Daphnia pulex: one gene and its partner. The protein of the gene in region 1 purifies or fractionates together with the protein of each later gene. This does not show direct contact. Links are inferred from orthologs where the notes say so. Each region holds a gene or a part of one and is shown in the gene's direction. Other genes may lie near its edges.

Evidence for each region. Proteins that work in one complex are often made in the same cells at the same time.
Region 2: the proteins of anillin-like (region 1) and septin-7-like purify together in Drosophila melanogaster (affinity purification with western blotting; 3 studies listed by BioGRID, with this or other methods). This does not show direct contact. The link is inferred for Daphnia pulex from reciprocal best matches to the Drosophila melanogaster genes scra and pnut.

The regions. Positions count from the first base shown.
Region 1 is NC_060019.1:5,223,583-5,226,220, reverse strand, and holds the end of anillin-like, read left to right. Parts: coding exon 1-44; intron 45-109; coding exon 110-247; intron 248-308; coding exon 309-429; intron 430-493; coding exon 494-655; intron 656-718; coding exon 719-807; intron 808-869; coding exon 870-1,049; intron 1,050-1,161; coding exon 1,162-1,500; intron 1,501-1,574; coding exon 1,575-1,703; intron 1,704-1,772; coding exon 1,773-1,913; 3' UTR 1,914-2,126; downstream 2,127-2,638. UniProt on the Drosophila melanogaster protein: Required for cytokinesis. Essential for the structural integrity of the cleavage furrow and for completion of cleavage furrow ingression and proper formation of the midbody.
Region 2 is NC_060017.1:3,484,942-3,488,960, forward strand, and holds the start of septin-7-like, read left to right. Parts: upstream 1-1,207; 5' UTR 1,208-1,470; intron 1,471-1,964; 5' UTR 1,965-1,966; intron 1,967-2,110; exon of another isoform or gene 2,111-2,403; intron 2,404-2,645; exon of another isoform or gene 2,646-2,764; coding exon of another isoform or gene 2,765-2,942; intron 2,943-3,079; coding exon of another isoform or gene 3,080-3,300; intron 3,301-3,405; coding exon of another isoform or gene 3,406-3,517; intron 3,518-3,763; coding exon of another isoform or gene 3,764-3,923; intron 3,924-4,019. Other genes in the region: protein fem-1 homolog A-A-like, read right to left, coding at 1-178; transcription factor Adf-1-like, read right to left, coding at 2,765-2,942, 3,080-3,300, 3,406-3,517, 3,764-3,923. UniProt on the Drosophila melanogaster protein: Involved in cytokinesis and possibly cellularization. Also acts as an enhancer of the sina gene, thus having a role in photoreceptor development. May be involved in p53-dependent apoptosis.

The DNA.
Region 1 (2,638 bases):
CCATTTCATTGTTTCATTCCGTTAGTTCTTATCGCCAGCAAAAGGTAAAATCTTTTTTTAATGATTTTTTCAACTATTAACTTGTAAAGATTCATTGTTTTTGTCATAGGAAAAGACGTTTACGCCAATGAAACAGATTGTACGGAACCCAGAAGTTCGTCAAGTAGCTTCACGGCATGAAACCTATGAGTCAAATGAATCACTTGAAGTTTCTGTTCAACAGCAAATTCGCACCCTTCAAGAAGAGGTATGAGATACTCTAAAACTATTTCTTACTTTCGCACCCTATATTTTGACTTCTTACTTAGATCTCTACTCAACAAAGTGTTATGGCTCAAGCCTCTCAAGCCTTAAATCTATGTCGAGCCACTGCCGAGTTCTCTGGTTCCACTGAGCAAGTCGAAGGAGAAAAACTGCTTCTTATTTCCAGTAAGGTTATCGTTATAAGCGGCTTAACGAATGTTTTCCTCACTCATTTGATTACTTTATTCAGGCCAGAAAAAGCAAGCAGCTATCAATGAAATTCAGAGGTTAAAAAGTGAAGCAGCCATGAAAGTGATTTCAAACAAACTAGCTTCTCGCGGCACTCTGTCATTCAGCAATATTGGACTTCCACTTAAAAAAGATTTTTTATCGATGCTTAAGAAAGGCGGGGGTACATAAACTCATTCATCTAATAAAAGTGTGCTTCTATCTAATGACAATTATATTTTTTTAGGTGATGTTGTACATTATTTCATCGTGCTAATACGCAGCCGAGGCCAAGTAATTCCGTTGCAAATGCTGTCAACGGTAGACGGAATCCAGGTTAAAAATACTTTGTTTTTTCTTTTTTATATTTTCCATTCGCTAAGTTTTGCTTTTAAAAGGATGGTGTGTTGCGTTTCCCCAATTTGGTGCAACTGAGAAATCTTCCTGCAGAGTTTGATGTAGTGATTGAAGTTTATGCGTTGCAAACATGGAAAGAAAAGATGAATCACGAAACTAAATATCATATTCGCAAGGATAATAGCAAAATGCGGTTAACTCCAAAAAAACTTTCGAAACAAGTAAGCATGCACACTGTTAAAGATTTTAAAGAAATTTGTTATTTGAAATGTTTTTCGAATTTAATACCCGTCTAAAGACGTTTAATAACCAAGTTACTTTTCCACGTTTCAGGATAGTCGTGGAATGCCGAGAACACCACTGTCAGTTTCAGGTGGATCTTCTACGGCTAATCTACGTAGTTCTAGTTTTGGATTAGTAGGAGTGACCAACATTACACCAACAAGTTTGAGGAGGCGAGAGTGGTCACTAGAGAAAGTACCAGTTGCTTCTCCTATTGATGGAACGCTCCAGTTAAAAATCCAAAGCCACACTGAGAGTCTGATCGAAGAACGTGGCTTTTTAACCGTTTTCGAAGATGTTGGTGGATTCGGGGCGTGGCATAGGAGATGGTGTCTGTTATCGAACGACCAATTGCTCTTCTGGAAATACCCTGACGATGAGAAACTTAAGGTTGTTCAAGAACTATATTATTTTCGCATATGTCTTGGGTTATATATTTCATCGGGAATGTTGCGTATCAATAGGAACCCCAATACTCCATCAATCTTAGGAAATGCATAACGGAGCACGTCGATATAGTTTCTAATGACGTTTGCGCTCGACCAAACACATTTTTGCTCATCACTGTCAGACCTGTAGAGAACACGGACAAAGTATTCAAGTTATTATTTTTTGAAGTTTAAGAGAACTTTTCGATTTCATTTTTTCTGTTTTGTTTCTAGGATTCGTTGGTTATGACATGCTATCCCAATCAAACAGCCCTGCGCCATCTGATTTCCGCTGACTTGAAAGAAGAGCGTCAGTTGTGGTGCATGCAGATAAATAGGGTTTTAGCCAACTTCAGAGTTTGGAACTTGGAGTGAATTAAACGTTCTTCGCTATGAGTACTAACGTTGGGGAAATCGCCAATGAATGTCTATATTCTATGTAGCTTAATCGCTTTATCTTTTAGATTTTACATTTATATTCTACTTTAATTTCTTTCCTTCAATTTATTACATTCTAAGCTTTTTTAAGGTTCGTCAAAGCGACTTCAAATTCAAATTCTTGAATCGAATACATTATTGGTCTTGCAATTGTGCTTTTTGTTGAATTTGAAGTCTGATTATGAAAATGGTCTTCAGACTTAGTTTGGGAACACAATATTTTGTGTTAAATATCTAAAAGAAATAGTTTACCCAATAAAATAAGTTATCATATGGTCGTTATGCATGCTGCAAATCGTCATTTATTATAGGTTAGAGCTTTTGCTTTCGAGCTTAAGAGAGGAAACTACCGCCAAAATCTGACCACGCTATTGGCTCTCCGCACAATGTAAACCTAAATACCTATCAATAAAAATAGGAGCCTACAGGCCCTACATACTCCTAAAGTCCTAAATCTAAAAACTGAATGTTTCTTATAAATTGGTACATTTAATTCTGCACGCTTGTCAAATGAAAACTAAATTGATAACTTTGACGAAGGACCCCACTGGCTTCGCAAGCCCCAAAGAAAATCAAACAACAACCGATTTATTTTTCGTCAACAAAAACAAAATATTCTCTCTTCACGCTCTCGAAAACGGATAACGTGAAATATAATGTTT
Region 2 (4,019 bases), on another chromosome or scaffold:
CGATGTGTTTGCGGCGGATGGCCACCAGTAGCGGAGTTTCCCCCTGTTCATTGTACGATTGGGCTGCATCGATCGTAATTTCCCGTCCTTCCGCCTCCAGTATTTCACGCAATTCAAGTTCTGAGCCAATGCTCACAGCTGCGAAAAAGTGGTTGCTGATATTTCTATTAGAACCCATGGTTGATGGAACAATAAGAGCACATGTAATGAAACAATAGTCAATCTAGTCTGCTTATATCATCTTCCTCCAATTCGATTCGTCGTCGCAAGTCCGATTTTCGTGATTCTTTTACTTTTAATTCGTTTGTGCGGATCAGTAGGAAAAAGAATAGATAATAAAATGCTTTTAATTATATTAAAGCACATTGTTCAATGAAATTTCATCTCAAAAACGAATTTTTAAAAGCTGAAAATGAGTTTTATTGTTTCATGGTCGGGAAGGTCTGATCACAGAGACCATTGTCCATAAGAACCAAAATATGGGTAGAATATGGCCATGCAGCCTTCCTTATTTAGACTTTCCTATATTTTTCGAGTATTTTCTCGTGCGTGACGCAAGCTCATTCATTTTAAGCTATGAAAACACGACATTATTGACATGAAAATGTCGTAATAATTAATTCACTCGGACGTTTTCTCCTGAATATTGCAGCCCTTTCGTTTCCTATTTAAGGGAGCTAACTGCTGACAAAGTTCTTTGGGAACTTTTTTCTCTAGGAACAATTTTCTTCCTAAAAGTTTTGGCTTGATTTCAAGATAACTTTTCTCCGTCTCTAAAAAACCTTTTTCTTTGGGTTAAGTAACGTGTACAGCATGTGCGGAGAAAAAAGTCTTATCAGATTTTCTTCATCCGGAATCTTATCGCTCCTCAGGCTCGCAGCGAAGGGAAAGAAAGGAAATTTGACCACAACCCAGATTATGACCTTATTGCACTTTGAAATAAGAAAAACTCGTAAACGCCTAATGTGATTGACGGTAATGAAAATGTTGGGGATTCACGTTCTGTTTCCCTAATAAGATTCTGTGGCTATCAGCTTTCTAATTTACGAAACATCGTCATCCAATTCGTTCCGAGGCATTTATCATTGTCAAAATCAAGATTTTTCCGCCGAACAATGGGTTCCCATTTTTTTTTACAATAGAGTACGAAATTCCACCGTTAGATGGCGTTTGGGTCGCAGACGCTCGTCCAACTCTCACTTGATTCCCCACAGCGTTTACATACACATTTGCCCAGTGTTCCTTCACGTTGTGTGTAACTAAAAAGTAACTGGTGTGTGTGTGTTTGGCAGTTGGCTGTGACGAAAATTCCTAATCTTGACGCGGGTTTCCAAGCTCCACTCCCGTTTTTGAAAAGCAACAGTGACTGCCACTACAAGGAGAGAAAGAAGAAAAAAGAAGAAGCAACCGTTTTTGCCCCCATCTCGAGTGGTGTGTGTGTGTCTGCTGTGACAACGATGCAGAAGAGCGGTAAGTTGTTGTTTCCCCATTTTTCTGTGAAATCACACAGCCAAATTATTTCTGTCGAGTGCTGTAGTCTTTTGGAAACAGTCAAGTCGGTTGTAACGAAAAAGAAAAATGGATGGCTGGACAAAAGAATAAAAAGCCAAGGAAACGGCATGTGCAACTTGTCAGTGGCCTTCTTGAAAGCCTTCACTTTTTAGTCTGGCAGATCCATTTTTGTTAAAAACATTTTTCGATACAACTGGCCGAAACCTGGGCGTATTTGAAGGGTGGGGATATTCGAGACGGCTCGTTTCGAAACCGGATTCCAGCATTTTCCCCTTTCTTTTGGCGTGCATATTTGAATTGATTTGAAAATCTCTATCCTTGGTCACAGTGTTACACGCCCTGATTGAAAGTGGATCTAGAGACTCATCTTTTTTTATTTTTTTGTTTTTGTTTTCTTTTTAAATTAAATAATCGATCGACATCATCGCCCCCACGTGGTTCCTGACATAAAGTGGTGAGTGTCACTCTTTTTTTTGGTTTTATTTTTCTTGGTTTTTAAGTCGATAGATTCAAAGCGAGAGTGTTATAAAACGGCAATCTGGGTTGGTTTATCTTGTCCCGCTAGAGGCGCCACTAGTCAAAACGGGCGGCGTGCTACTATGGCGCGCGCTCTCAATCCCGCCGGTCAGTTGAATCGGAACGGTCGTTCCGACTTCAAGTCTCAAGCGAAAGAGACTTTAGACGTTACCAAATTGTTTGTGTTTGCTGCTGCTTATCTTTTTTTGGTTTTTTCATCCCGACTTGTTCTGGTGGTGCAAAAGTGAACTATCATTTTCCGCCAGTGTCTCGGTGAACTGTGAAAAAGGAGGCCTCTTTTTATTTGATTGTGTTTTATTGTCTTAACTACTTGCTGTTGCGGCTGGCTGGATCTTGTCCGGATTTCCTGCACAGGTGTTATTGTTGTACCCAGTAGAAAGGGGGGTTTTTCTTTGAGGTGTGTGTGTGTGTTTGTTGACCGTGAAGAATGTCTGGAAGGAATCACGGTTATACCACGGGGCGAAGGGTTCAGAGAGAGAGAGAGAGAGAAAAGTCATCATCGCTATTCTTGGCTCCGATTCTTTTTTCTTTTCTACTGGCTATATGCGCACACCTTTTATCACGACCCACAGAGTTGCCAGATACACACTAACCACTTGAGATGTAAACATGTATTCATAAAGTAAAGAGAAGAACAGGAGACGAGGAGGGGGGAATAGTTTTTTTTTCAAGTGGCGTTCAATCTTTTGCCCCCACCGAAAATGTGTGTTTCAGTTTAGGAATGACTCCCGAATTCCATATCGTGTATCAGTTGAAGGATTTGAACTTTGGCCAAAGATCGGCGCATTAGCGGCAGACGTCGCAGTGTCTGCGCCACTGAGAGACAGAAGAGTTCATCTTCGTTGTACGTCATCCGAGGGCTTGTGCTCCCGCCGTTATTGAACGCTGACGACCTTCAATATCAGAAAATGGGAAAAACAACAAAATAATAATAATCCTTATATGGTAGCCGATTCTTTTTTAGGGTTTGTGCTGCCTCTGCAGTTCTTTTTTTTTTTAAATTCAATTTTGAGTTTTGGGTTGTTTTTACCGGTGGTGATGGTGGTGGTGATCAACCGCTCCACCTCCTCCTCCTCGTAGGTAATCTGAAGGTGTGCCTGAGCGAGGTGGACCTATGTGATGGTGCCCGTCTGTTTCCTCGATAATGACCATGGGGTAGCATTCGGCCGCTGCGGCACTTTGCTGATCGAATCCCGGCGAAACTGGCCCGTCAGTTTCATCCGACGACGTATGATTATTATCACCTTCAGACTGTCAGAGATAGGAAAAGATAGGATTATCGTGTGTGTGTGTGTCCGTTCGAATGATAAAGCCAGCCACTCTTTCAATCATTGAGGAAAGTCTGGCGTTTGTTACCTTGACGTGTTGTTGGCGGGCACCTCGTGGCGTGTTTGTACCATCAGACGTCGCTTCCTGCTGGCCGCCGCTGCTGCCGCCACCGCCGCCCCCGCGAGCCTTGAATTTGAAACTAAACAAAATTCCCCCCCCCCAGGAAAGGAAAGGAAAAGAATCATCGCCGATGAATATTCTATTGATTCCCAGCTTTAAAAACATCGTCACTTGTCTATTTTCGTTTTATCAGTAGTAAACAGCGCAGGCAACTGCTCGTAAAGGCCATGAGACTTTCCAACCGAGTCAAAGAAACTATTAAGACAAAACTACCGAAGAAAAACGTGTGTGAGAAAAAGTCGTGCTCTCTCTCTCTCTACTGTACCTGCGGTGTTTGATAAAATCCTGGATGAAATGCATTTGAGAAGCCAACGGCCAGTTGCCTCCGCCTCCCGATTTGCAGCCGTTGGTCTGCTGCGACTTGCGCTTGCGCTCCCGCGTGTACCGGTCCCGCAAGTAGCGCCAGCGGTGCTCGCACTCGATGGCTATAAAGTCGACAAATAAATATATCTCTGAATGGTTTGTTTGGGAATTTTTTTAAGAAAAAAAAGGACAGCAGACAGGTGCGGGTGGGAAGCACT